Linked DNA regions of Elephas maximus indicus. The protein of the gene in region 4 purifies or fractionates together with the protein of the main gene of each other region. This does not show direct contact. Links are inferred from orthologs where the notes say so. Each region holds a gene or a part of one and is shown on either strand. Other genes may lie near its edges. The genes, in order: COPS7A, CAND1, GLMN and CUL2.

The links.
Region 1: the proteins of CUL2 (region 4) and COPS7A purify together in Homo sapiens (affinity purification with mass spectrometry; 3 studies listed by BioGRID and IntAct, with this or other methods). This does not show direct contact. The link is inferred for Elephas maximus indicus from reciprocal best matches to the Homo sapiens genes CUL2 and COPS7A.
Region 2: the proteins of CUL2 (region 4) and CAND1 purify together in Homo sapiens (affinity purification with western blotting; 7 studies listed by BioGRID and IntAct, with this or other methods). This does not show direct contact. The link is inferred for Elephas maximus indicus from reciprocal best matches to the Homo sapiens genes CUL2 and CAND1.
Region 3: the proteins of CUL2 (region 4) and GLMN purify together in Homo sapiens (co-immunoprecipitation; 4 studies listed by BioGRID and IntAct, counting the BioPlex papers as one, with this or other methods). This does not show direct contact. The link is inferred for Elephas maximus indicus from reciprocal best matches to the Homo sapiens genes CUL2 and GLMN.

The regions. Positions count from the first base shown.
Region 1 is NC_064822.1:63,479,549-63,487,341, forward strand, and holds the start of COPS7A (COP9 signalosome complex subunit 7a), read left to right. Parts: upstream 1-4,518; 5' UTR 4,519-4,657; exon of another isoform or gene 4,658-4,740; intron 4,741-5,104; 5' UTR 5,105-5,147; coding exon 5,148-5,309; intron 5,310-6,855; coding exon 6,856-6,931; intron 6,932-7,169; coding exon 7,170-7,258; intron 7,259-7,793.
Region 2 is NC_064822.1:127,802,650-127,810,068, reverse strand, and holds the start of CAND1 (cullin-associated NEDD8-dissociated protein 1), read right to left. Parts: upstream 3,216-7,419; 5' UTR 2,808-3,215; coding exon 2,740-2,807; intron 1-2,739. UniProt on the Homo sapiens protein: Key assembly factor of SCF (SKP1-CUL1-F-box protein) E3 ubiquitin ligase complexes that promotes the exchange of the substrate-recognition F-box subunit in SCF complexes, thereby playing a key role in the cellular repertoire of SCF complexes.
Region 3 is NC_064821.1:149,945,084-149,952,795, reverse strand, and holds the start of GLMN (glomulin), read right to left. Parts: upstream 3,252-7,712; 5' UTR 3,195-3,251; intron 3,188-3,194; exon of another isoform or gene 2,969-3,187; intron 2,556-2,968; exon of another isoform or gene 2,373-2,555; 5' UTR 2,275-2,372; coding exon 2,236-2,274; intron 1,859-2,235; coding exon 1,733-1,858; intron 1-1,732. Other genes in the region: putative RNA polymerase II subunit B1 CTD phosphatase RPAP2, read left to right, coding at 3,342-3,414, 4,291-4,336.
Region 4 is NC_064822.1:9,106,083-9,113,674, forward strand, and holds the start of CUL2 (cullin-2), read right to left. Parts: upstream 3,286-7,592; 5' UTR 3,087-3,285; intron 3,042-3,086; exon of another isoform or gene 2,840-3,041; intron 1-2,839.

The DNA.
Region 1 (7,793 bases), about 54 Mb from region 4:
GGGAAGTGACTTTTGTATATAGCCTAAGGTAGGAGTTCTCTGTTATATATTGAGGTTTCATATATGTGTAGATCTGTTTGTGGATACTATTCAGTTCCATTGGTCAACTTTTTAAAACCTACACTTGTAATACATTTAAAAGCTTAAATTCTATAGCTTTCAAATAAATCTAAATATCTCTTAGAACAAACACTGCCCTACCAATATACTCTTCTTTAGAGGAGTTATTTTTTTCCATACAGATACCCTATCATCGTAGTGTAATTTATTGAAATGTATGTCCTCTCTCTCCTCGCACCTCTGTCATAATCAAGTGTCTATATATGTGTGAGTCTGTTTCTGGGCTCTATGTTACATTTCAGTGATCGATTTATCTATCCTTGTGCCAATACTACACTATCTTCATTATTATGGTCATGTCCTTCTACCTAGTAAAGCAAGTCTTCCCACCTTGTTCGTCTTCTTCAAGATGCCTTTTGTATATCTATGTAAATTTTATAATCAATTTATCAGTTGCACACATCCACAAAAAAAAGCCTGTTGGGATTTTGAGTGGGATTGTACAGAATCTATAAATCACTTTGGGGGGGATTGACTTCCTTCATGGTATTCAGTTTTCCAATCTATGAATATGATCTATATCTAGATTTATTTTAGGTCTTCTTCACCTTCTCACAATAAATAATTTATAATTTTCTGCATACAGCTCTTATATTTCGTTACATTTATACCTTTGTATTTGATATTGATACAATTGCAAGTGGTAACTCTAAAAATTATTCATCATCAACTGTTATATATAGAAATAGGACTGTCATATATTGATATTTTTATCTTTCAATCTTGCCAAACTCTTGTTAATCCTAGTAATTCATTTCTGGATTATTTTAAATTTTCTATATGTACTATCACATTATCTATTAATAATAAGTTTTGTTCCTTTTGTACCCATTCATTTTATCTTTTATTCCTTTTCCTTATTTCTCTGGCTAGGATCCTCATTACAATATGAACTAGAAGTGGTGATGTGTCTTTTCCTTTACCTGTTTAAGGAAGCTCCCTTCTAGTTTTCTAAAAGATTTTATCACAAACACATGTTGACTTCGTTACATGCTTTTCTGTGTTTTTTAAGATTATATTGTTTATTCCTTTAATCTGTTAATATGGCAAATAAAATGAATGTATTTTCTAATACTAAACCACCCTTAAATTCCTGGGATAAATTCAAGTTAGTTTTGTGTCTTATCTTTTTTGCACAATGCTGGATTTGCCTTGCGAGTATTTTATTGAAGATTTTGTTATCTCTGTTCATGAGTGAGAGTGACCTGTAATTTTATTTCTAGTACTGTCTTTTTCTGGTTTTGTTATTAAAAGTAATTCTGATCCCGTAGAATGAGTTGAAGAGTGTTCTTTCTTTTTCTATTTTCAGGAAAAGTTTATATAAAATTTAAGATGATCTGTACTTTGAAAGTCTGGCACAACTTCCCTGTGTGAAGTCATTCTTTCTTGACTCTTCACACTTCATATCTAATCATCTGCAAATTCTGTTCAGTCTATCTTCATTTTAAATCCAAAATCCAATAGGCAAATGTATATAGAGACAAAAGTTTATTAATGGTTACCAGGGGTGGGAGGGAAGGCGAGAGGAGAACCATTGTTTGGGAAGCAGTAAGTTTCTTTTTATGGTGATGGGAAATTTGGCACCGATTAAGGGTGATGGTTGCACAAGATTAATGTAATTGATATCGCTAAGTTGTACACCTGAAAAATGTTGAACTGGCAAGTGTTGTATTATATATACTTACAACAATGAAGCAAAATTCAACCATTTCTCCCCATCTCCCCCACTACCACCTTGGTCCAAACCACCACCCTCTCTTGCCTGGATTGTTGCAGTAACCTCCAAATTGGCCCTGCTGTTTCTGTCCATGCAGCCATCATATTTTAAACATGTGGGTCAGATTATGTCACCCCTCAGTTCAAATCTTCCATTGGCTGCCCATCTCATTCAGAGGAAGTGCCAAAGTCCATACAGTGGCCCACAGAGCCTGACATGATCTGGCCACTCTGCTCTGTCTGATCCCATCCCCTACTTCTCTCCTTGCTCACTCAGTTCTAGCCACACAGGTCCCCCTGCTGTTTGTCAAACACACCAAGCATGTTCCAACCCCAGGGCCTTTCCACTTGTAACTGCGTGGAACGCCTTCCCCACAAAATCCACGTGACTTGTTCCCTCACATTTTTCAGGTCTCTGCTCTAGTGTCACCATATTAAAGAGGCCTTTCCTGAGTAGCTTATATAAAATAGCAAATCTCTTCTGCATTTCCCATCCCCCTTACCTCATTCTTATTTTTCCTCATAATATTTATCACCCCCTGACCATTCTATGGAAACCCTGGTAGCATAGTGTTTAAGAGCTACGGCTGCTAACCAAAATATCGGCAGTTCGAGTGGGCACTCCTTGGAAACCATATGGGGCAGTTCTACTCTGTCCTATAGGGTCGCTACGAGACGGAACTGACTGGACAGCAACAGGTTTGTTTTTTAGTTTGGGACCATTATATATCTTATTTATGGCCTGCATCCCACCACAAGAATGTAAATACCAAGACGGAAGGATTTTGTCTATGTCCCCAGTGACTAGGACAATGTGTGGCAATAAGAGATGCTCAATATATATTTTTGAATCAACAATGAATATTTTATTATGTGTGTGACTCCTTGGATGTCAGTCAGCTTTTCTAGCTTTAATTCAGTCATCTTGTTCTCTATCATTAGCATTGCCAACACAGCACCTGGCACATGGCCTTGAACATAACTGTCACTTAATAATGAATGAATACTACATCCTGGGGTTTGTGTAAGTTTACTTAGCTCCCATTCTCCCCTTGGAGAGCTTCTTTTTCTTCTGTCACCTCCTCTTTCCCCATTTCTATTCATTTATCTTGTCTTTATCACCTCTACTCCTTTTCCTGTTCTCTCTGCTGTTTTAAACCTCACTTCTTTAGTCCAGCCCTCTCTCATTTCTTTCTCCACATTCACCTCTTGTTCTACTTAGTAACTGTTCCTCATTTTCTTTTCTCCTTGTTCTTGTCTTTCTCTCATAGAGCTGTAAAACATCAGAATCAAAATTAGCCTTAGAGATTCTGTCATATAATCTCTCACTTCGCAGGTACAGAAGAGATCACAAGGTGGCATGATGCTTTGCTTTAAGGCCCCAGCTAGCTTAAGTCTGAATCAGGACTGTATCTCAGGTTGTCCATTTCCTCCTCTCTTCTCTTTTCCTCTCTGCTTTTCTTTCCTCCGTTTCTTAACATAGTCTTAGAATCAGACAGACTCGCATTTGGATCTTAGCTCTACCACTTACTGGTGATCTTTAAGAAATTATTTGTTCCTTAATGATCCAGTGTCCTCACAGGTAAAGTGAGATATTAATAGGCACCTTAAATGCTTTCTGTAAAGACACAGCGTCTTTTTTAAAAAATCGATCCAAAAAACACCTGGTATATAATAGAACAAATGTTGGTTCTTTTCTCCTATAGTTTTAAAGTGATAAGATTGGGCTCATTAAATTCTTTGGTCCCTTCAGACTTTGCATATTTTATTATGCCTTTTATTCCTTCTCGACTTTGTTTCATCTCATCCACTCACTACCACTACTTCTCCTAAAGAAATCTCAGGGTTTTTTTTTTCCCCCTAAAGTATCAAGGTGAAGTGGAAAGACAGCTTTGGATTTGAAAAGACCTGGGTTCCAGGCAAATCCCTGAATTTTTCTGAAGCTCAACTTCCTTATCTGTAAAATGAGAATAACAACATATGCCTCTCTTCCACGTAGGGCCCCCCCCTCCAGGAATTAAGAGTCAACGTATGGAAAGCGTCACTCTCCAAGCACATGTTGTACTCAGGGCAGAGGGGGTCCCGGAGTCTGACTGAGAAGGCAGTAGTTTTAAGAATTCAACAGAATAAAAAATTTAAAAGATGCTCAAACAAAAATAAGCACTCAATACATGTTAGCTATTTTTTTTTTTTTTATTATTTCCTTTCCCTTTTCTACTTCTTTTCCCCTGTTCCTCAAAAAATTAGTGGTTGAACGACCCAGGTGATCTCTGCCGCTCACCTTCTATTATTATTGTCCCCCTTCCTCTTTCATCCTGCCGTTTTTTGTTTTTTCTTCTTTCGTTCTCCCTCTTTCCTTCCACTACAGCTTCCCTCTTGCTCTAGGCACAAGCTGCACCCTGGGTCTCCAGGCCTCCGACAGCTTAGAGCTGACACACAGCCCGACACTCAAAGGGATCGAAGGTTGTCTACCTTTAGCATCCACCGCCCTTTCACCAATAGTTTTATCGAAACAGTGGAAAAAAAAAAAAGGCACAAGTCATTCTTCTCCCTGCAACGAATCAGAGAGTAGGATGCCTGCGTCCCTCACTGGAGCTTCAATGGTCGGAAAGCAGGGCCCAGCATGTCCCGCCCGAAACCTGCCCCTAGGAGCGGAAGTACGGTCGGAAACCGTCCATAGAGTTTAGTAGCTAGAGCGACCCTGGGAGGAGAGGTGGCAGGAAAGGCTCGGAACAGCTGCCGGAGGTGACGGAGCCGCGGCCCCGCCCGGTGCGCTGGAAGACGAAGCTTCCAGGTAGCGGCCCACAGACTCTGACCGAGGGTAGGACGGGCAGTCGTCCGGACCCTACGATTCCAGGGAGGCCTCTTTAAGGAGGGGCGGAGCCACGCGTAAGGGGCGTGGGGGTAAGGTCACGTGGTTGGGGGCACAAGGGGCGAATCGAGGGATCTTCGTTGGTGGGGTGGACACCATGTGACACTCCTTTCCCCTTTGCACCTGTGCCTTGGGGTTCAATGGGATGCACGTGGTGAGGCTTGGGGTTAGCGCCCAGGGGTCGGGGGAGAAGGTAGGTGTGGCATTCCTGTCTCATTCGTGTTCCCATCGAAACGACCAGCTTTAGGATTCCTAGATCCCCGTTCTAACCACTCTATCTCTTGAGTCCTCATTGTAGAAGCGACTCAGTGCCTCTGCAGTTCAGCCCTACCCCCATGATCTTCCCATCCTGCCAGCGTTCAGAGACCTCCAGCTTCACAACGTCTTTCCTTGCAGCTCCAGACATCCTGAGCCCAGCTGCCTCCAACTCAGTGCAGCCATGAGTGGGGAGGTGAAGGTGACAGGGCAGAACCAGGAGCAGTTTCTGCTTCTGGCCAAGTCGGCCAAGGGGGCAGCACTGGCCACACTCATCCACCAGGTGCTGGAGGCCCCTGGTGTCTATGTCTTTGGGGAACTGCTGGATATGCCCAACGTTAGAGAGGTGGGTTCCTGGCCTGGATAGCTCTTAGTGAAGCTTGGGGCTAAAGTTTGAATTTGAGAATGGGTGGGTAATGCTCATTTTGCAGCTATGTAACCATTCAGTTGAATACGAATATGATGATGATGGCAGCTTGCAAAAGTAAGCAAGCAGGTAAACTTCTAAGCTTCCCTTGTGAGATGAAGGATTTGTAAAATCCAGTATTTTTGACTTTTAAGCAAAAGAGCACGTGACTCATAACAGGAGACCTGAGTTCCAGCCTGTCTCCACCAATGTAGTATCTCTTAGTAAACATATCGCTTTGATCAGGTCACTTTTATTTTCTTTCTTGAAAATGGAGATGATATTGATGATATTGCCTTCCTTACCGTTAATGTGGGAATCAAGTGAGATTATGGGAAAGCATAAAGCCTGGTACAGATGGGAGGAGTGAACATACTAAATTAGTATGCCCTGTTCTCCCTCCTTTGCACCATGTGCTGTTCATTTGAGGTAGGTAACGTAGAAGGTGTCTTTTCTCCCAAAGATATCGCAAGTTGCTACTAATACAGTGGGAAAGTTAAGAGTTTAAAAAGAGTGAGTGTTGCCAAGATACATGACACTGTTCAAGTCCTAAGATGCTATGACAGTGGACCAACTGAAGCAAGTTTTTGAAGGCCTGTGATTGAGTCAATGGATTTAGCCTTTTAGGATCACTCTGTGGTACAGAGAAAACTCTTACCTTCTTTCCCTGCTTTCCTCTGCAGTGGAAGAAGTATTTATTGAGTGCCTGTTTAACACTCTGCTAGTCATCTGGGAACACCAGAAAAGTACAAAACATAGTGCTTACCCTTCTGAAGCTTACATTCCAGGTGAAGAGATAGGATGAATGGATATAAGTCTCTAAGCCACTCATTTAGCAAGTATTTATTGAAAGATGCAACTACATGCATAGCTCCGCTAGATCCTGAGCGGAATACCAGAGATTGGGCCTATAATCTTGTTGACAAGAAAGGTATTGCTAGGTAACAAGCTTAGGTGGAGGTTGATTGATGAAGTACCAGTGGTAGGAGGAGAGGACATCTGAGTGGGCTGGACTGGGTGATGTAAGCCTCCCAGGTGAGGTGGGTCTGAAGCAGAGGCCACAAATTCACATGCCTGCCTCAGCCATGTAGCTGTCAGGATGAGTGAGGCTCAGGCAGGAATCTTGATTAGAAATATGAAGCATACTCAGAGGGCCAGACAACACAATTTGCAATGTCTGCTGTGTGTCCTTCAGGTAGTGGGCACTCAATATTTTTAGCCATGAATTTAGGGTAGGAATTGAATAGCAGATGGAGGAAGAGGGCGTTGTGGATTGGGGAAATAGCAAAAAGGCCTGGGGGTGGAAACAAGCCCTTCCTAAGGGGAATGTGTTCAGAGAGACAGAGAGTTCCTTTTGGTGAATGAGAGAGCTAGCATTAGAGCAGGAAGAGAGGACTAGAAAACGGAGTTTAAAACAGGGTAAGGCCGAGACGGTGGAGAGGGAGGCCCTTCCTGTCACTTCTTCTCTTCTCTCCTATTCTTGCAGCTGGCCGAGAGTGACTTTGCCTCCACATTTCGGCTGCTTACGGTGTTTGCTTATGGGACATACGCTGACTATCTAGGTAACCAGAGGGATGGACTGGAGCTCTAGAGTGGTGGAGATGGGAGAAGGGCAATTTCTGGAGGAATTTAGTTGGAAGAAATTCCTGGGGTACTTCATTTGGTTGGATCTCCTAGGTGTATTGGGCCAGGTCAAGACCTGGATTGACATAGAAAACTCAAAAAAAAAGTAAGGGATGGGGGTTAGGGCTTCCTACAGACTGAAATCAGGATTCCCTATACTTTATCCTTTTTTTTCAGCTGAAGCCCGAAATCTTCCCCCACTCACAGAGGCCCAGAAGAATAAACTTCGACACCTATCAGTTGTCACGCTGGCTGCCAAAGTCAAGGTAAGTGGCAGTTCCCCAGCCCAGAGCCAAAGAGGTCTAGAGCATTCTGGATGTTCCTCTGTAAGGGCTCATAGTCAGGGAGTTAGCATTGGGACAGCTTCGACCCAACTATTGCTTCTTCCTGCCCCTCCCCCTGAGGTCTGTATCTAAACTCTCTTACCTGCAGCTTTTTAGGCTGAATGAGTTTTTGTTACTCTCTTGGAAACCCTGGTGGGGTAGTGGTTAAGTGCTATGGCTGCTAACCAAAAGGTCAGCAGTTCAGATCCACCAGGCGCTCCTTGGAAACTCTATGGGGGCAGTTCTACTCTGTCCTATACGGTTGCTATGCGTTGGAATCGACTCAACAGCAATGGGTTTGGTTTGGTTACTCTCTTAGTTTTTTGTTTTATTTTTCAGTCGGCTTAAGTCCTAAGTAAAATGTCATTTGTGTTTTTGGTCACAAGAGCAGCTAGGGTGTTCACCATGTTCATCAATTACCCTCTTTCCACAATGTAAAAGTCCTATGTAAACAAAGCCTTAGAGATGGGAACAGGGC
Region 2 (7,419 bases), about 120 Mb from region 4:
GCCGAGTTGAGCTGTACTCTATAGAGCTTTCAGTAGCTGATTTTTCAGAAGCAGATCACCAGGACTTTCTTGCCAGGCATTTCTGGGTGGATTCAAGTCTCCAACCTTTTGGTTAGCACAATGCACAAGCACAATGCACCTGTCAGGTACTCCATAATGTTAATCACCCCTCATCATCAAGATTTCAGACATAAAGTATTTTAACACTCACAGGGGACAAAATCATGTTACTGGCACCTAAATAATTAAAACTTAAAAAGATGTATTTAATAAATATCTGTGCTGAAAATATATGGAAAAATCTTCAATATACTTGACTTCAAATGCACACCATTTCGACTAATCCTTTTTTTTTTTTTTTAATCCTTAAATGTCTATAATTTAAAAAACACTGCACTTTAGTCCGAAGACCTGGCTGTTAAGTGGATGGCTAGAGTGTACTACAAATATGTCTTTACAGTAACGTTTGTAAAAATACCTTAATGATGCGAAATTACTAGAGGCCTTTTACTGTTTCTATATATATTTTCTATAATATTCACCATTCTCAGAAATATCTGTATCAATATTATAACTCTGTGGGAATAACCAATCATCTAAGCAACGTTTTGATTCATTAAAACCCAAGTTGGTAGATAATCCTTATAAAGTTCAGCACTGACTACAGATAGCTTCAGAGCAATAGTATTTCTTACATCCGGTTTATAGAAAAAAACAAATGTGTGTTTTTCCTTTACTACAATAAGTTTAAAAATAAAGTTTATTTAAGGAAACTTCACAGTCAATCATCACATATGCAATATCGTCACATCCAGTGTTTCCTTTAGTCTTCCTAAACATATTACCTATACACTATTCTGAATATTTGAATAAAATTGTACCACTACAGTGGGTTTTTGGGTTGGGTCACTATAGGGAAAGGGCTACCTTTACGCTGAAATTGAACACAATCAGAATGGAATTTAGCACTTATATCAAAAGCTAATTGCTATCGAGTCAATTCTGACTCATAGATACAGGACGAACCAAACAGACAGAAAGAAAAATCACACCACACACCTTATGCAGGTTAAAGTTATGTATATTCAAATATTTATATCAAATCTCAATGTAAGCAAGCAAAGCTCCAAAGAGAATCAAACAGCATTTTAATACTTTTTTTTCTTTCATTTCTCCCAATTAATCTTGGCCCTAGAACTACACAAATCTGAAATTCTAAAATATGCAAAATAAACATGTCACTTCCAAAGTCCCAACACTGAAATCTTTAGTATTTCCAAACTGGGTTTTAAAAGTTTCAAATACAATACTTAAAAACTCCTTAGATAGCAAAACTTTTTTTTAAAAAATCTTATTTGGTTTTGAAGTCACAGAACCAAACTCTACTGGCAGTTTTAATACACCACTATATGGCACAGAACCCGGCAGTGTTTTGTTCTGTCGTGCATAAGGTCGCTATGAGTCCGAACCGACTGGCTGGTACCTAACAACGACAACAATATGTTAATTTAATTAGGAAAACAACCATTAACTTTACTAATGGCTCTCTATTAACAAACTGAGCAGTTTCTTCCTGGTCAATATGGTTTCACACGTTTCAGGTGTACAGTTGCCAGAAAAAAGTATGCTCTTCGGCCACAATTTTAATTGGAGACTTTGTTCGTGCTTTTAAAATGCACACGAATTATGACCACTACAAAACTTCGGAGAAGAAAACCTAAGTACAATGAAATGAAAAGCTTTTTTAGATTGAGAGCTTATCTGTGAGGAGATGGAAGGCAGACACTTAACAATAACTGTAGTGCAAGAAAGAAACCAAGGCAATTCGTGAAAACATAATTCTTCAATACTCATGTTATCAAGAATTTGGAACCGACAGTTCAAATCCCCCGGAACTTAACCTCTACGAAACAGCTTCATTAACCACCAGTCCCAGGTTAGAAAACCCCTTCTTTCAACAAGAATATTTGCTCGGTTGACTTTTCCGTTTCACGTTCAGCGATTCACTCCTCTGGCAGTGATTTTGGATACAAGGACTTGAGACTGAAAACCCGAGTTCCTGCTTGGCTTTAACCTGCCAAGCGAAACTGACAGAGATGCTGGCGGGAAAACCGTAGCAGCCAAGTTTCCTCCATCCTGGCTCCCCCTCCCCCTTCTTCCCACCTTCACCAGGAGAATAATACAAAGAAAAAGTCTATAACCCAACCCGCGAAAAGCTCCAAAAAAGTTAACAGTTTAAGCAGAAGCCAGCCAGGCCCTCTCACGCCCCCGCAGAAGGCGCCTGGTGGATCCCCGAGTGGGCAGCAGGTTCGGCCCCAGCTAGCAAAAGAGGCCTAGCGCCTCGGGCGGGCCGGCGGGTAGGCCCCGCTGTCCGGTCTCCAGGCCTAGAGCAACCCCCTTCCCCACAGTCGTAGGTGTTTTCGCCCTTCGCGCTACCTGGGTCGCGAGGATCACGTCCCGGACGCCGGGAATGTGGTGGGGGCGTTTGGGGACGCAGAAGGAAGGGCCCAAGGCCGGTGGCGGGCAACGGCCTAAAGAAAAGAATGGGAGGATCGGAAGGTGGGGAGGAAAAGGGGCCTGAGGGGATCAGGGAGCTGTGAGGTGGGCTGGAGACCTTGGGGAAGCAAGGAAACCAGTTACGGCCGAAGAGGTGGGGCAAGGCCAACGATGAGGGCCAGGGCCGCAGACGGGGGGGGGGGGGGGTCCAGATGCAGGTTTAGGGAAGGATCTCAGCCTCACCTGAAGTCCTTGTCGCTGGATGTCATTTTCTCCAGCAAATTGGAAATATGGTACGAGGCGCTCGCCATGTTGACGGCCACGATCCCGCCCGCTGGCGCTGCAGCTGCTGCCCGCCGCCGCTGCTGGGGCTCCTCTTCTCGCTTGCGGCGGCTCCCGCTTCCAGGATCGCAGCGCGACGCCGACGCTGACTAGGGAGGCGCCTCGACCGGCAGCCCCCTCCCCGGCGAGGCGAGGGCCCGTCCCGGGGGAAGCAAAGGCTACGGTGCCGGCCTAACGACGGCTCTGCTCGCGGGAGAACGAGCTCATGGGCTGCAGAGCAGTACAGCAGGGCCTCACCGATGAGCCAAGCACTTTCACTCTGGCCGGTCTCGCTCCCACTCCCTCCGCACTCGCTCCTTAGGGCAAGTGGCCAAAACCCGCCTCCTTCACTACGAGGGCGGGGGTGGCAGGCGCGGGACGCTACCGAGAGCCGGGGTCAAGGTTCACTAAGATCTCCCCACGCACGCTTTAGAGCTGCTAGTTAAAGAGCAATCCTGTTGGCTGATACCGATGTCAGTCTTCGCGTGAACGGCCTTTCAGGAGGCATGACAGCGACTAAAAGGAGCTGTTCTCGCGAGACTATAAGGCGACGGTTAAAGGACGGCAGGCGAATGGGACAAGAGGGCCGTAATCTGAAAATACTTGAGAATTTTTTCTATATAGCATTAAGAGAATAAGTTTACGATTTTTAATGACTGTAACGCCTGGGACTAATGCTAATTAAGGGGCTAGCCTAGGACCAACAGAAGAATTATTAGAGGAAGCTTTCCTTTCGAATCGGACGCCCGGCCTACATTGTCTTAACCACCGTGGTGTAGTGTTGCCACGTGAAAACCACAAATCCCAGAATTCAGTAGGAGAGGCACACTGGCTCAGGATGTGATTGGCTGCAGGAACTTGTAGCTTCCTTATTGGCTCCCATGGGAGAACTGAATGTTGGGATTTGCAGGCTAGGGAGGCAGTACCGCTGGATAAAACCTTAGGATTAGCGTGGGGTGTGTTTCTGCTGCGGATTGGGATTTCCTGTAGTGGACGTATTTGTTGTTAAGGGATGTTTGCAGAGCGAAACTGCTCCGGTTTGGGCAGGCGCATTACGGATCCATGGACTTCGGAGTTCTTGGCAGAGGCCTAGTAGCGACATCTAGTACTAATCCGAGTGTGACCGTAGCCTCATTCCTTCTCTCCGTAGAGCCACCTTTCTGAGGCAAGCAGGACCTTAGAAGACTGATGGGCTAACTACAAATAATTGTATTCGGAGCCTATTCAGAACAGCTAAAAGACCATCTTCTGTAGTCAATTTTTGTTGACTTCATAATCCTGCAGTTGTGTATTTTCTTGTTCATTCGGACAAACACAGTCATCAAGGTTAGATATGAAATCTTCTGTTTTACTATCCAAGTTTTTATCTGCTCAACATTTGGGATTTTTACATGAATTTTGTCAACTGGGCGTCAACACCTAAAAATTTGATGTGGGTCTGAGGTAGGTGGGATTAGAGCAAGCTGACAGACCTTTCTAAAAGAAAATAGCCCAGTGAAGAGGAAAAAAAAATCTCATTCAGCTACTCCTGTTAAAAACAAAACAAAAAATCCTTTCAATAGGCTTGTACTTCCATGTACGTCAAACCAGATAAAACCAACCTGACGTTTCTTTACTGTTCTTTGATGCTTTCACCAGATACTGAATGTCTTCTAAAAAGCCAAGCACTGAATCGACTCGAGGGCACTGGGTTTGTTATTAAAAAAAAAAAAAAAATTTTTTTTTTTTTTTTAACAATGTTAAAACAGATGAAGCATGATCTGGCATCATAGTACAATACCTAAATTTTCCCTCATTACTGTTATCTACTCCCGTGTACCGTTATACTTTAATATTATTTTCCTCCCCATTCATGCCATGTCTCTTTCCTTATTTCACCCAATTCGGCCATCATGAGGGCCTATTTCGTCAAATTTACGTAATCGCTGCAGCCACATTTCCCTTCAGCTCTGAACAGCCTTTCCACAATTTATAATATAAACTGCACACACAAACTACACACACACATCACATACACAACCTAGCAGGTCATTTTTTTCTTCTTGTGGACCCCATCGCTTGCAATGCCAGTTATCTGGTGGTAACCCTTTCCTATAGCCTGTATCCAATCAGACACCAAGACATGTTTGTCTTTTGTGTGTGTGTATAAATCCTTTCATTTATCAGTTTCCAGCTGAACTATAATATTTGGAGGTAGATAGCTTGAATATAAATCGTGTTTTTGCACCTTACTAGCCATCTTAGGCAATCCACTTTAATCACTGAGCCTCAGTTTCTTCATGGGTAAAACAATGACCATCAGAGGTCGTTTTGAGACTTCAATAAAATACTTCATATAAAGAGCTTAGCGAATTGCCTGGAACATAAAAATGAAACTTATAACTAATATTTCTTGCACACTTACAAAGGTCCAGGAAAGTGTCTAATGAAAGTTAGCTATTATATTCTCTCAGCCTTTTATTTGTCCTTATTTCCAAACCAGGAAACCCGGGTGGCATAGTGGTTAAGTGCTGTGGCTGCTAACCAAAGGGTCAGCAGTTCAAATCCACCAGGTGCTCCTTGGAAACTCTGTGGGGCAGTTCTACTCTGTCCTATAGGGTCACTATGAGTCGGAATCAACTCGACAGCCCTGGGTTTGGTTTTTTTATTTCCAAACCATTCTACGCAGCGAGTATAAACCAAAACCAAAAACCAAACCCATCAATTCGACTCGAAGACAATATAGAGTTGTCTAAAACATTGTTTTTATAGTACCTGCTTAAAACGGTCATCGACTCTCTACTACAGAATAAAGGCAAAATGTTTTGGCAATCAGTGATTTCCTTCATCTGACCCTAACCTTTTGACATTTCTTCCACTGTTCTAATACAGGAATTGCTCCCACTAATGTATTTTTGAATCCCTCAAAGACCCAACTCCAAGTCTTTGTACATAATAATAATAATTGTTTATGGACCAGCAGTGTATTAACTCATTTAATCCTCATAAAAGCCCATGAGATTGGTATTACCCACGCTTTAAGTACGAGAGATACAAAGATATTCAGTAACTTGCTAAAAGTCACCAACAAGGTGCAGTCAGGATTCAAACCCAGGCAGTTTGCTTCAGAGCCCATACTCCAAACCACTAGACTAGAATGTTTCTCCTGGTCTGGAGTCTTGAGTCTAGAATCCCCCTTTCTAGGGTCTTGAACTAATGATAGTGTTTGTATGTTAGCCTCCAACTAGAGTATAAGTTCAGTAAGAGCATGTACCATCTTTAAAACACTGCTGCTTCATTCAAGTACTTTGTTGTTAGCTACCAACTCTGACTCATGGTGACCTTATATGAATCACAGCTAAATGTTGCCAGGTCCTACATCATCCTCACAATCATCAGCATATTTGAATCAATCATTGTGGCTATTGTGCCAATTCATCTCAGTGAGGGACTCTCATGCCCTTATTGGCCCTCTACTTTACCAAACATGATGACTTCCTCTAACAATCAATCCCTCTTGATGTTGTGTCCAAAGTAAGGGAGTCAGACAATGTTCAGTTGTGATCCATAAGGTTTTCATTGGCTAATTTTCAGAGGTAGATCACCAAGTCTTTCTCCTTAGTCTTTCTTACTGTGGGAGCTCCGCTGACATCTGTTCACCATGGGTGACTATGCTGGTATTTGAAATAGCAACATGCAAGCCACCACAGTACAACAAAGTGATGGATAGGTGGTGTTTTAAGTACTTAACCAGGGCCAAATTCACAATAAGGAGCCTGGGGGCACAACTGTTAAGCACTTGGCTGCTAACTGAAAACTCGGCAGTTGTAACCCGCCAGCTGTTCCTTGTGAGAAAGATGCGGCGGTCTGCTCCCATAAGGGTTACAGTCTTGGAAACCCTACGAGGCAGTTCCACTCTGCCCTTTAGGGTCAATATGAGTCAGAATTGACTCGCTAGCACACATCAACAACAACAAATTCATGATAAGCACTCAATAGAACTTAATTTCATTTTGTATTCTCAACTACTTGGAGATTTAGTTTGTGTATTTTAGCATATTACCAAACACAGAGGAAAAAAGCTTTTGTTTAAGTATGTTTTAATGCTGAATTAATTTTAGCTGCAAAGGGAAATTAGTCCAGATAAGGATAACCTCAAAGAGTTCTCCTCCCATTCAATGGCCACAATAGAGAGTTGAGGTTAGAAGTTTCAGAGGATCAGAAAAATGGAGTTCTCGAAGCTGTTGAGAGGCCTTTCCAATATTAACCAGTAGTACAACTGTACACACAGTAGTACAACCAGTAACACAACAAATGTTCACGAACATTTATGGAGTGCCTACACTGTGCCAAGAACTATACTGGGGATACAAAGATGAACAAAACATGTTCCTCAACCTTGTCATCATCATTCGTTAGCTGCCATCGACTCACTTCCAATTCAGAGTGGTCCTATGTACAATAGAACTTAACACTGCCTAGTCCCGCACCATCCTCACAATTGTTGTTATGTCTAAGCCACTGTGTCAATCCATCTCCTTGAGAGTCTTCCTCTTTTTCACTGACCTTCTACTTTACCACGCATGATGTCCTTCTCCAGGTATTGGTCCCTCCTGATAACAT
Region 3 (7,712 bases), on a different chromosome or scaffold from region 4:
TTATTCTCTCAGAGGGGAGAACCTCAGCTGTCTTTGACACCTTACCCTCTCTCACCCTCACAATCAATCAGTCCCCTCTATTCTACTCAAAACATTCATGCAAGTGCTTACATGCTGCTAACTGGAGTAGAACAAAGTGGCTAAGAGCTCTGAAACCAGGCTGCACAGTGATTTCGTTTCCTCATCTACAAAGCGAATTTAGATTCTGGAGAGGCTAATGGGTTAACAGATGCAAAGCACTTAAAAAGACATTTGACATATAGTAAATACTCAAGAAATAAAACCAAGAAGGGTAAAAACCACAAAATTTACTTTATTTGGGGTTACAAAGGTGCCATAAACACAGATCAAAAGCAAATATATTAAATAAAATATCCTATTTTTGCTAAAAAAGAAAAAAGCAAGGGCTGCCCTCTGAACTGCTGAATAAGAGATTCTACAACAATATGCGATTACAAAGCTTTATGAGGTCCCCAAATCCAATTAAGATGCCTTGGATATAATCACAGGTTAGCACGACTAGATTGGGGTATCAAAAAAGAAAACTTTTGTATAAATAAACAGTATTATAAATGAAAGAAAGAGCATGTTCCTAGGAAGAAGATGGTCTTCCCTGTATTCATATGAACAACAACAAAAAAATCCCAAACCCACTGTCACTGAGTTGAGTCCTATCAGGGTGACCCCACGTGTTACAGAACAGAACTATTCTACAGAGTTTTCTTGGCTGCAATTTCTTTACAGAAGCAAATCACCAGGCCTTTCTTCCATGGTACCATTGGATGGGTTCAAACTGCCAACCTTTAGGTTAGGAGTCAAGCACAATCCATTTGCACTCCTCAGGGGCCTTGTACTCATAAGAAGGGGAGTACAAAGACACAAATTTGGCAGTGTGTCTCTAACACTGTGTCCCAGGAAAAAGTCGTCCCTGATCCACAAACGAGACCCATTTCCACTGTAAAGAATGATTTCTCAGACTATCACAGCTGGATGATATTCTACATCAATTGTCCCTGATCCACAAACAAGACCCATTTCCACTGTAAAGAATGATTTCTCAGACTATCACAGCTGGATGATATTCTACATCAAACTCGTTGCTGTTGAGTCGATTCTGACTCACGCTGACTCTATAGGACAGAGTAGAACTACTCCGTAGTTTCCAAGGCTGTCATCTTTACAGAAGCAGGCTGTCACATCTTTCTCCCGCAGAGCAGCTGGTTGGTTAACAGCTAAGCCCTCACCACTGCGCCACCAGGGCTCCTTCAGATTCTATGCACGTATACAAAATATTGCTTTGCTTAAAATCTGGTTTTCCACACACATTTGGCTCAATCAAGATAATTTGCTGGTCACCAAAAATGGGTGTCTAACCTGCGTGAGACTTGTATTACGTAAATTCATGATTTAAATGCCATTCTTAGTTCCTCTAGACCACAAGCAATCCTCGTTCCTACTGAAGAGTTTTACTTCTACTTCTACTATAGCACTTATTTCATTTATTCTGCCTCTTTATTGCTAGTAGTTTAGTATTTACCTCTTCTACCAGACTGCAAGGACCTTAAAACATATGAATATGCCTAATTCCTTTTTTGTCTTCCATAGTTTCTACTATACTTTGCTCTTAGTTGATACTTACACATTTGATAAATAAATAAATAAATAGATAATATCATCATGTGGTTTTCTCTTCCCAGTAAAAATGAAAAGTACACACAAAAATAGTACTTACCTTATTCTTTTCATTCTGGATAATTTCTAATAGCTGGTCTATATGCCCTTCATCTATGCACCTTTGCCCTGCTAACTGAAATAGGCCAAAATCTTCTTCTTTAAAGTCCTGTTCTTCTAGGATTTGCTGGCAAAAAAAAAAAAAAAAAACACATACAGAAATAAAAACTCAATACAATAACTACTTGATTTATTTTATCTCTGTGAAAAAAGAGAAACCTGTTTGAATTCCAGATGGGTTGCACATTAAGTATATGCACGAAAATCAGGATGATCCCAGTAAATATTCCCAATGAATGATCTCGAAATCTACTTTACCAAAGAAATCTATGAAAAGGATCAGCATTAAAATTAAGATTATTTAGATAAGTATGTCACTTGGAGACATAATTCAATTTGCCTTCCAGCCCTCATGCTATTTATTCACAGGTCAATAAAAGCAAGAATTACAGAAAATAAACAATGAGTGACCTCAAATGTAATTAAAAAGAAAAAATTACTTACACATCTTTTTATTATGGACTGAAGCTCCTCCACAGCCATTTCTAGTTTTTTCCCCTAGTTTTGATGCTGAAACGTACTAACACAAAACACACTGTTAACAGTGGCATTACACTGCAGTATTCGGAAGCTGTTCTATTCTGTTGCATTATTAAAAAAAAAAATAATATTAGCACACACAATTTAAAAAATGGAACGTTTCAAAGCTAAAAATGTTATTACTGAAAGTTAATGTGTTAGCTTTAAGAAAATTAAAAAAAAATTTTTTTAAAAGATGTTGCTTTTCTTTCTGTTGTATTTTTAAGTTTTCTAGGAGTATTATTTTGAAAGAGGAAAAAAACTCCTCTAGAGCACTCTTAAGAGATAGGGCAAATATGAACTCTATAAAGGATTTTTTAAATAAAGTGAAATTGTCTTTTTTGAAAAAATTCCCAAAAGATGGGCCTGAAATCCAAGTTATAATCATTTAGGAATTTTTTTTTTTAATGTCCCACCTGACAAAAATTTGAGAGCAACACATTTAACTCATTCAAATGGGGTGAAACTTCAGATGCCCTCCAGCCCAAGGGTTGGCGGTGACATTGCTCTCTAAGAGTTGCAGTCGCCAAGATAATCAATTTGGTCACTGTAATCACTTTATTACTTGGAGACCAGGCCACCGGCGGTCCCCGGAAGAACCGGTCTCATCGACCATCGTTTTTCCCAGCCGGAAGGCCCGGCCCCAGCCCTGCACTACCGGCGCGGGTCTGCGGGGTCCTCACAGCGGCGCGCTGGAGGGCGGATTAAACCGCTGCGCGCGTGCTGGTGGCATCCAAGGGAAGCCATTTCTCCCGATTCCTGCTGTCCTTGGCGTTCGGCCCCCATCACCTGGCGGGCCCGGTCTGCCCGCGGCGCCGGGCCCTACGCCCTCACTACCCACCCGCGGGCCCAGCGACCCGGGCTCCCCCCGCGCGTCCACTCACCCGCCCAGCCTCCGGCCGCTCTCAGTCCCCTCCTCCACTCCGCAGGCCGCGCAGCCTACTCCCCCGGCCCCGCCCCGCCTACGTGAGAGAGGCGGGGCCTCGGGGAGAGACGCCGACGCCCGCTCTCCGCTCTGACGACGCATTTCCATGGCTGACTGGGCCGGGCAGCTGTCTCCCGGCCGCAAGGCCCGGGCTCCCGGCGCCTCCCGTAAGGCCGCAGGTAGGAACAAGGGTCTTTTGCCACGTTTGGGCCCTAATACCTGAGCTCCGGCAGAGTTCCACACCAAGGCGCGCGGGGAGCTCCCGGAAGACTGACCCAGGGGAGAGGGTCTCCTATGGGGAGACCGTAGAGCTCCCCACCCTCGCCTTTGCACCTTCTGGGCAAGATCTCCCGGGCAGACTCCGACCCTTTTACAGGAGTGTGCCAAGATTTTTCCCGTCGTGGTTTGACCCCAGCCTCAGAGGTGGGCAAGTGCCCAGGGCAGCGACGGCAAGCCGTGCGCAGCAGACTTCGGACCCCGGCCCAGTGTGCTACAGAAGTGCGGCTGCTGTGGTGCCCTGATTCTCTGAGGTGTCAATCCCGACCCTTTTCCCCCGCCAGAGGGCCAACAGGAAGGAGACAGGAAAAGGTTGCTCCAAAACTCAGATTTTCAGAAGGGCGTAAGTAAGCTGTTCTGATGTTGTTGGGTGCCCTCAAGTCGATTTCCGCCCCTTTTGACAAAATAGAACTGCCTCCATAGGGTATTCTTGGCTGTAATCTTTACGGAAGCAAATTCACCCATGGAGAGGCTGGGTGGGTTCGAACTGTCAAGGTTAACAGCCAAGCGCTTAACGGTTGTCCCACCAGGACTCCTGCAACTCTGATACATGAGAAATCAAAAGAGATAACATTTTAACCAAGAAAAATTAGGGAATAATTAATTTACAAAAGTAAGTTGGATTCTCTTCCCATTTGATTTTGGTTTACGTACAGGATTAGAAATGAAATGTGTGGAAAAGATGGCCTGCGGTTTGAGTTATTTGGACAGGAATCTGTCCTGTGCCTAATGTCTTTGTGCAGACTTGACCTACTTTTTTTTTTTTTTTTTAATCGTAGGTACCAAACACACAAGTGCCTCCAAACAAGAAGATGCTTCCAAGAGGTACGAGAACTTCTTGGAGAACTGCATTCATTTATCTATCTCATATTAATTGAACCGTTTTTTGAAACCGTAATGGGTACTACCTTAGAGAAAGTTACTGTGAGAGGGAAGGTAGAAGTCTGGGAAGCACTATAAATTCTCACAGTGACTGTTTCAAACCAAACCAGAGATTTCTAGGCTGCTAATGAGTATCTGTAGAAAGAAGTCTGTGACAATAAACATGCCTGTATTAACCTGGTACTCCTTTTCCACCTCTTCAGGTACACTCACTCATTACTGCTATGCCAGAGACTTACTGTGCAACCTTCTCATTTTGTCACTCCAAGAAGCCTTTTCTGTTCTTTGTTTACATCCATTCCAGATTTTCATCAAAAAGTTGTCTTGTACTGTCTCTTGGCTTCTCCTAAAAAAGCAAAATATTATCACCTGTCTCAGAAGGTTTCTAGAATATGCATAGCCTATGAAGAGGATTAAAATATATATCTAGAATTTCTCACTTTATGAAGGCTCACTGATCTTGTATTGGCTTTAGTCTTAATTTATTCATTCATTCAAAAATTATCTACCAAGTGTAAAATATGTCAGATCTGTGTTAGGCCCTGAGGATATGATGTTGAACAGGGTAGACCTACCATACATAGTTCTTGTTTAGTGGAATAGAGAGACACCAATTAAATTATCACAAGGTATACTTATAAATTGTATACTTACAAATTGTGAGAAGTGTTATAAAGGAAAAGGCTATGATGTTATGAGGAAGAACTAATAATGGGAGTACATTTTAGCTGGGAGCTGGAGGGGAGAGTAGCTGTGGGGTTCAGGGAAAGGCTTCTCTGAAGAAGTAATAATTACACTGAGACCTGAAGGCTAAGTAGGAGTTAACCAGACAAAGACTAGTGACGAATGACTTACAGCCAGAGGTGACAATATGTGTGAAGACCCTGAAACAAGAAAGAGGTTGGCCAGTTCAAAGAAAAGAGACATGTTATCCTTTGGTTTGCGGAAACATTGTTTGCTGTCATGTGGTTTAGGCCTTCCTCACCTGCAGAGAGTCTGTGAGGACCAAAGAGTTGAACACAAACCCTGATGTGTGTTGGGGCCAGCGAGTTTGCAAGGTTCCCCCCAGCCTAGTTCTCAAGGGCCTAGCTTTCATTGACAATGTTGTGCTGACTTACCCCGTCTGGCACAAATCATATTTGAGTAATCATCCTTAAACCCACTGCTATTGAGTCGATTCTGACTTACAGCCACCCCATAGCGTTTCCAAGACTGTAAATCTCTGCGGAAGCAGACTGCGACATCTTTCTCCCTCGGAGCTGAGGGTGGCTTTGAACTGCCTACCTTTTGATTAGCAGTCGACCACTTTAACCACTGTGCCACCAGGGCTCTCAATCATTCTTAAAAGTGAGAGAAATTAAGTCTGTAAGTTGAAATGTAAAACTACGAAAGTGGCTCAAGAGAGGAAGGAGTGGATCTATTGGTTTTTATTTAGAATTATTCTAATCTTATGCATAATTTAGGAAACGCTGGTGGCGTAGTGGTTAAGTGCTATGGCTGCAAACCAAAAGGCCGGTAGTTAGAATCCGCCAGGCGCTCCTTGGAAACTATGGGGCAGTTCTACTCTGTCCTGTAGGGTCACTACGAGTCAGAATTTATTCGACGGCAATGGGTTTGGTTTTTTTAATGGGTTTATGCATAATTTTTATGTGAATTTTTTTGGAAGGGATAGTGTTTTCACTTTGTGCTACTTATTATTGGTCTTAGTAAAAAAAAAAAAAAGTTCTGCAGAGATTAAAAAAAAAAAAAGAGAGAGACAGAGAAAGAAAGGAGATGGCCAGAGTGATGTGCAGCATTCTGATCAAGGGAGGAAAGGCGTATAGGAAAAGGTTAGAGAGACGTAGGATCCTGTTCAGATAGTAGCTGGTAGGTGAGTAATCCAGATCTTTGTTGGAAGTACAAATGAGAAAACATTAAGTAACAAATGATGGAATTTAGGTTCTAAAAGTAGTTTTAAGAAGTGAGAAATGGTGGTTACCTGGAATTGAAGAAAGTAGATGCGTTTCAGCTCTGTTTTGGGGGGTTTTTCCCTGTGGAACAACATGGTTTTATTGGCTGGGCTTTAGGAAATACTGCAAGAGTAAAGTTTAATTAATGGTGATAGTTTGCAACTCTACTCAACACTGATCTGACCACAAACCTGAGATTATAGTTCATTTTTGAGGAATATAGATGAGCTGAAATGTATTTTGAGCAGACAACCCAGGATGATGAAACAGTTAAAAATCCATGGAGGTAGCCAAATAGCTGTTGAGGGGAAGCGGCTCTTTATAAATGTATTGCAACTAAAAAATGAAAAAGAAATGGTAGAATTGCTATTTGACAATTCCCACCTCCCTGGGTGGCACAAATGCTTAATCTTTCAACTCCTAACTGAAAGGTTGGAGGTTCAAACCCTCCTAGAGGCACCTCAGAAGAAAAGCCTGGCAATCTGATAGTGAAAGGTCACATGTGGGGTTGCCATGAGTCAAAATCAACTTAATGGCAACTGGTTAGTTTCTGGATGAAAGAATCAACAACACTTACAGTCTTACCAAGGAAATAAAACATGAGTCTGATGAAGCTCTGAATCCAGCTGCTAGTATGCAGGAAGTGCAGGGGAACATATTGAATGGCACTGCAAGCATGCCATGAGCAAAATTCAGATTTTATAGGTCAGATGTCCCAGGTTCTGCAATGGATAAATTGTTACAAAAAAGGAAAAGATGGTGAGAGAACCTGTAGATTAAAAGATTAAGACATACCAAATTAAAGAAAACAGACAAGACTAAACTATAATGTCTAGGGATATTACTTAAATAATACCATTATAAAAATAACTCAAAATGATCATTACAATAAGAATCAAAATACTGATTACTTCTGGGAAGAGGGAGAGGTTTCTGGGTTGGCTAACAAAGGTCTGTGTCTTGACCTTGGTAGTAATTACAAAGGTGTTCGCCTTATAATAACCTTTGGAATTTTATGTATTTTATTTTACAATTAAAAAGCATACCCACAAGGAATGCTTGAAGAAGTTGGAATGTTTAAGTTAGAGAAGAAGGGGCTCAGAGGCGTAGGATTGCTATTTATAGATATCTCAAGAACTGTCCGAGAGGTCTTAAGTTTCAGTCCTCAGATCCAGATACTCTTTTTTTTTTCCCCGAGTATACCTGATGTTACGTGAATTCAGATAGATCTGACTCGGTACTTCCCAAATAGCTACCTATTTGTTCATCATTTCTTAAGATGGATCATTTCTACAGGTGACTTTTCTATTATGCTTTAATTCTTTCTAATTTCATTCTGGAGGATAAGTCTTACCCCAGAGTACTTGGAA
Region 4 (7,592 bases):
ATCTACTTGAATGTAACTAAGAGCGCATACATGAAAACTTTGTCATTAATCATAAACATTTTTCCAACCTATAAAGAAAATAAGCCAATAAGACATGTGAAACACAAAAGAAACAGTGAAAACTTCTGCACAAATTCTCACAAAAGGTAACAGCTCTTTAAAAAACTCCACATCTGAAGGTCAAAAACTCAAAGACCAAGTTAGAAAAAGTCAGTGCCCCAGGGCCTTCTCTCTTGCTACATTCTTTCTTTAGGTAATCTTCTGTTTCATAACTCTTAAGTACTACGTAAAACCTTAAAAAATACAAGGTGTCAAAGCAGGTAAAATATACCATCATTTTTGCAAAGTGGAAAAAAGAATATCTACATATTTGCTTATATGTGCACAAAATATATCTTTGGAAGGATACATAAGAAATGGCTAACATTGTTTGGAAACAAAGGAAAATTAAGTGAAGGGACAAGAAGTGCAGGGAGGCTTTTAATTCTGTACCCTCTGGGCATTTTAAATTTTGAACCACGTAAATATAGTTTCTCTTCAAAACATAAATAAACAGATAAACACTGGTAACTCCCATCTCTGCCTTTTTCTCCCTATTAGAATTTAAGTTCCATGAAGGCAGAGATTTCTGTCTTTTTTTTCACTACTATATTCACACTGCCTGGTCCACAGCTGTGGCTTAAAAAATATTTGTTGAATAAATGAAGGACTCCTTAACCTCTCCACTTAATTCCAGATTTGTATATCCAACTGCCTGCTTTCCACCTCCACTTGAATCTCTCATGGATCCAACTTAACAAGTCCAGTCCAGCCGTACGGCCATCCCCTCATCTTCTCCCCATCTCAATACACAGCATGACCATTTTCTAGCTGCCGAAGCCAAAGAGAAGTTACCTCCTCCAAACCAAATGCACTCTCATCCAATCTATGACAAGTTCAATAAATATATCTCCAACACCAAGAAGATCTACCTCAAACCTTTTTACTTAACACTTCACAGCCACTCCTGTATTTAAATCTGCCACAGCCTTCAAGCTGGTCTTGCAGTTTCTCTTCTACTTTTATCCAATCTTCCCTACAGCCAGAACAACCTTTCTAAGTTGTAAATGAAACCGTACCACTCCCAGCTTTAAAAAACAAGAATGATAATTCCATTAGCTTTCAATGTACTTTAAAAATAAAAGCAAATCTTCTTCAGACAATAAGACCTCATATGATCTGGCCCCTGGCTATGATCTAATCTGTTATCACTTACTAGAGTCCACCTTCACTGAGGTTCTTTCAATTCAAGGGACTCATGCTCTATACCACCTTTTACATTTGTTGTTCCCTCAGACAAGAACACTCTTCCCTCAAAACTTCTCACATTTCAGGCCTCAGGTCAAAGACGTCTCAGAGGTCTTCTCCCTATCACTATTACAACTCTATTTTATTTCCTTCATAGCAGTTATCATTCTCTGAAATTATTTTCATTTCATATTTATTGCCTGTCTCTTCCTTTCCCCACCAGAATTAAAGCACCAAGAGGGCAGAAATCTCACGTGTCTTATTTATTTTATCCCTAATGCTCGCAACATTACTTGGCACACAAACCGGATGCTTAATAAATATTTGTTAGTTGGTAGACAGGGTAGAACTGACTTTTAAAAAGGTTCACAACATTCAATTTAGTGACATGCTGGTGAGGAGAAAAGACATAGATAATCTTCATATATATAAGACATTGCAAATCAGCAAAGAGGGTGGAGAGTGAACATTCAAATATTAAAAAGATTAGTAGAAAAAGTATTCTTCACATACAAAGTGCATGCGCACTGTGGAAATGTTCCCCAAACTCATAAACAGCATCTTAAAAGGTATAACGCAAAGCACTGCATACATGTTATTTCATCTGTGACTCTGATGGCAGAGCCTTCCAAACGATGCATTTGGGCAAACGTGTTCATGTCTCTGTCTTGGAAAGTAAGGTGAGATTCCAAAGAGTAGGCATGAGTCTCTGAATGTTTTTAATGCGTTCTGTAGTCAGGAGACGTTACAGAAAAACAAACTTGATTGTTTTCCAAATTTTACTATGAATGTATATGAATGTAGGTTTGGGACAGATCTAGTTCAAATGTTTTTATATTGGAAAGTCAAAAGAGTCTATAGTAATGTTAATAGTTTCTATATTATTCTTTTCAAACTTTAAACTTCCAGGGTACTGAGCCTTCAACTTGTTAAGAGTAACCCGTGGGTCAAAGGGGAGGATTTAAGGATAAGAGCGTGGAATTCACTGAAGTCTCATTTGCATGCGCGCTTTTGTGGGGCAGTGGGGAATGTGTGCAAGAGCTCCAAAGAGAGCGAGGATCTTATTTCACTAAACCCTAAATGTTGAGACAGAAGGTCCAACCTGCACGTAGGGTATTCTCCCCAAAGCAATTAATCTTTGCTGTCTGTGGAAACAAAAGTAAAAACACTCGTAGTAAGGATGCATGAGATGGATGCGCCCCCTCCCACCCAAACGCCGAGCTGTGTGCCCGCGTGACACATTAATAATCAAAGGAGAACACGCACTCCCACCTTCCCTCCTTCGGAGGAAAATGGGGCCGAGGGAGGGGCGGCCAAGGCCGGCCTGGGGAGGCCCGGGATCCAGTCCCGGGGATGACTGGGCGTAGGGGCCAGCGCCCTGGGGCGCCGGGTCCGCGTCCAGGACGCGTCCTCCCCGGCCGCCCCTCCATCACCCACCTTCCCCTCCCGTCGCCCCCAACTCCTCTTCCCCGCCCCATCCCCGCCGCCCATTCGCCGGGAAAGGAAGTTTCCAGGCGCCTGCAGCCCAGTCCCCGGGCCGCAGCGGTGCTACCTTCTGCAGAAGCAGGACGAGGGCCCCGGGCGGAGGGAGGGGGAGCCAGCGCGGAGGAGGGAAGGACGAAGGCCCGGGCGATGGCGATGGCGGCGGCGGCGGCGGCTGTCAGCTCGCGTTCGCCTGCTCACAGCGCTGCCATTACTGTGCGGCAGAGGCCGCCTCCCCGCTCGGCCGCCGCCACCGGCGCAGCAGGCGCGGGGGAGACGGGCCACGAAGCCCGGGAGCCCGCGCGCTGGACACTCACCCACGCCCGCGCGGGAAAGCAGCACAGCCCGAGCTCGCCCCGGCCTCGATCGCGGAAGGAGCGGGGCGGGGAGACGGGGCCCGGAGGGCCGGGTACGGGTTTTAAGCCCTGGTCCTCCGGACCGTCCGGGTTTGCCCCACACACGCCCGCCGGCTCTCCCTCTTCCGCCGCTTCCCGAGCTCCCCCCCAGGAGGGGATGGTAGAGTCCACGATACGGCAAGCGCGAAGCACCTGCCTTAGTGCAAATGCGAACGGCCACGGCGAGGGCTGGGAGCGAGTCTCCGCGGGGCCGGCTGGCTGAGGGGCCCGCCCGGTTCCGAGCTCGGGCGACGCAGAGCTCACCAAGTTCTGAGACTGCTCGTAAAAATACGGCAGAGGGCTGTTCTCAATGACAGCCGTCTCCTTTGAGTCGTTTTACGCCTCAATGGATATCTTAAAATACCTCAGTCTCTTTGCTGCCGCCCACTTCAGGCTTATCGAGTCATCAAAAACATATTAGCAAAACTCCTTTTCTCTCCGACGTAGTCCTTTTCTAGTGGGCTTCAGTCTATCGACACATCGAGGGGCATAACTGTGTTTTCAATGAAGGAAATTCTTTTCATAGCCCTGATCACCGACTCCCCGCCTTCTTTCCCTCCCTATCCGTCTGAAGGGTTTTTCTAAGATTTTTAAAAGGGAGTGTAGACAAAACACAGGTTTATCGAAGACCGACTCCTGCCTCCCTTCCCTCCCTATCCATCTGAAGGGTTTTTCTAAGAATTTTAAATGGAAGTGTTGACAAAATACAGGTTGATCTATCATCTTAAATATATAGTACCCCAGGGAACAACAAAAAAAACACCTCGTTGATAGCGACCCTACAGGACAGAGTAAAACTGCCCCTAGGTTTCCAAGGAGCAGCTAGTGGATTCGAACTGCTGAACTTTTGGTTAGCAGCCGAGCCCGGCTTTATTCCACAAGAGCTTCTCGTATATGGTTCGTTTGAACGTTTTGCGCAAGCCTTTCCTTCCCAAGCTTCTTTCTTCCACGCTGTTTTCTTGTTGTTAGGTGCCCTGAAGTGGAATCCAACTCCTAGCGATCTTACGTACAACAGAACGAAACGCTGCTGGGTTCTGCGCCATCCTTACAATCACTGCTGTTTGAGCCCATTAATTGCAGCCACTTTGTTCATACGTCTTGTAGAGGGTCTTCCTCTTTTTCCATGACCCTGTGCTTTACCAAGCATGATGTTCTTCTCCAGGGACTAGTCCCTCCTGACAACATGTCCAAAATACTTAAGATGAAGTCTCCCTGTCCTTGCTTCTAAGTAGCAGTCCGGCTGTATTTCTTCCAAGACAGATTTGTTCATTCTTCTGACAGTCCACGATACATTTAACTTTTTTTGCCAACACCATAATTCAAAAGCATCAATTCTTCTTTGGTCTCCCTTATTCATTGTCCATTTTTACCATGCATGTGAAAGGATTGCAAATATCGTGGATTGGGTCAGGCACACCTTAGTCCTCAAAGAGACATCTTTGCTTTCTAACACTTTAAAGAAATTTGGTGCAGTACATTTGCTCAAACCAATGTGTCCTTTGATTTTTTCACTGCTGCTGTCATGGGTGTTGTTTGTGGATCCAAGTAAAATGAAATCCTGACAACTTCAATATTTTCTCTGTTTATGATTTATCATAATATTGGTTATTGGTCCAGTTCTGAGGATTTTTGTTTTCTTTATGTAGTTTTTGATCTTCATCAGTAGGTTCTTCTAGTCCTCTTCACTTTCAGCAAGCAAGGTTGTGTCACCTGCATATTGCAGGTTAGTCTTCCTCCAATGGTGATGCCCCATTCTTTTTCATATAGCCCAGCTTCTCAGATTATTTGTTCAGCATGCAGATTGAATAAGTATGGTGAAAGGATACAACACTGTTGCACATCTTTCCTGATTTTAAACCACGCAATATCCCTTGTTCTATTCCAACATCTGCCTCTTGGTCTATGTACAGGTGTCATGCGTTGAATTATGTCCCCCCAAAAATATGCGTTTCAATTTGTCTGGGCCATGATTCTTGGTATTATGAGACTTTCCTATATGTTGTAAATCCTGCCTCTATGATGTTAATGAGGATGGATGGGCGGCAGTTGTGTTAGTGAGGCAGGACTCAATCTACAAGATTGTATTGTGTCTTGAGGCAATCTCCTGAGATAAAAAAGAGAGACACAGCAGAGGGAAGGGAGGACCTCATACCACCAAGAAAGCTGCACCAGGAGCAAAGCATGTCCTTTGGACCCAGGGGTCCCTGTGCCTGAGAAGCTCCTCCACCAGGGGAAGATTAAGGACAAGGAACTTCTCCAGAGCTGGCAAAGAGAGAAAGCCTTCCCCCGGAACTGACACCATGAATTTGGACTTGTAACCTACTAGACTGTGAAAGAATAAGTTTGTCTTTGTTAAAGCCATCCACTTGTGGTATTTTGGTTATAGCAGCACTAGATAACTAAGACAACAGGTTTCTTATGAACACAGTTGAGTGTTCTGGAATTTCCATTCTTCACAATGTTATCCATCATTTGTTATGATCCACAGAGCAGAATACCTTTGCAAGGTCAATAAAACACAGGTAAACATCTTTCTGGTATTCTCTACTTTCAGCCAAGATCCATCTGACATTAGCAGTGATATCCCTTGTTCCATGTCCTCTTATGAATCCAGCTTGAATTTCTGGCACTCCCCTGTTTATGTACTGCTACAACTGTTTTTGAATTATCTTCAGCAAGATTTTATTTGCTTAGGACATTAATGATATTGTTCAATAATTTCTGCACTCTGTTCAATCACCTTTCTTTGTAATGGGCATAAATATGCATCTCTTCTACTCAGTTGGCCAGGTAGCTGTCTTCCAAATTTCTTGGCATAGAGGAGTTAGCACTTCCAGCATTACATTCATTTGTTGAAACATCTCAACTGGTATTCCATCACTTCCTACAGCCTTGTTTTCACCAAAGCCTTCAGTGCAGCTTGGGCTTCTTCCTTCAATATCATCAGTTCTAGATCATATAAAAAAAAAAAAAAAAACTTAACCTTCTAAATGGATGAAAGTAGACCAATTCTCTTTTGTATAGTGACTCTGTGTATTCCTTCCATCCTCTTTTGATGCTTCCTGAGTTGTTTAATATTTTACTCACAGAATCTTTCAATATTGCAACTTGGGACTTGGATTTTTTCTTCAGTTCTTTCACCTTGAGAAATGACAAGCATGTTTTTCCCTTTTGGTTTTCTAACTCCAGGCCTTTGCACGTTTCATTGGCTTCTCAAGCCACCCTTTGATATCTGCTGTCCAGCTCTTTTACTTGGTTCTTTCTTCCACTCACTTTAGCTACTCTATGTTCAAGAGCAAGTTTTAGAGTTTCTTCTAACATTCGCTTTGGTCTTTTCTTTCTTTCCTGTCTTTTTAATGACTTTTTACTTTCTTCATATATGATGTCCTTGATGTCGTTCCACAACTCGTCTGGTCTTCTGTCATTAATGTTCACTGCATCGAATCTATTTCTACCACTCCTTAAAGGCCTATTATAAATCCTGTTTCCTTATCTGATAAATCCTGTTAATCTTCCTCCTCTTCTAATCCGCTTCTCCTGATACTTGAGCGCTGTACTCTTTATTTTAACTTAGCAATTTGTTTCCATTATATGACCTTTTCTCACATGCTCATCCTCTTCTAAATCAGTGGTTCTCAAAGTGTGATCTGGAGACCCTCTGGAAGTCACTGAGACCTTTTCAAAGATCCTTGAGGTAAAAACCATTTTCCAATCATATAGCGTGTTCTCTGTCTTTTAATACTGGGTTTAACATGAGCACTGATAGTGCAAAAACTATGATAATACTGCTGGCACCTTAGCAGGAATTAGGATGGTGACAAAAAAACTGTCTTAATCGTCACTGGACCCTTGTATTCTTCACTACTACACACTCTCAGTTTTTAAAAAAGAATATTGACTTAGGAATATCCTTGATGATGTAGCAAAAAGTATTAATTTTATTAAATTTTGACCCTTGAGTACATGTCTTTTTAATATTCTGTGCGAATAAATGGAAAGTACACATGCACTTGCGATGTGTACCAAAGTATAATGGTTGTCTTGAAGAGCACTTTTGTGATTGGGAGTGAGCTGAACTAGCTGCTTTTTTCCATGAAACACATTTTTAAGGAGCCCTGGTGGTGCAGTGGTTAAGCACTAGGATGCTAACTAAAAGGTCCATGGTTCAAACCCCCCCCTCCAGATATGGCAGTCTGCTTCCATAAAGATTACAGCCTTAGAAAACCTATGGGGCAGTTCTACTCTGTCTTATGAGGTCACATTTAGTAGGAATTGACTCAGCAGCAATAGGTATGATGAAATATGTCTACATATAAAAGATCTGCATGACAGACTAAACTAATATTTTCTAAATGACCAATGCATGATATTCCAAAATCATGCATGCATAAAGATCCATTAGAAGTAGAAGATACACCAAAGCAATTT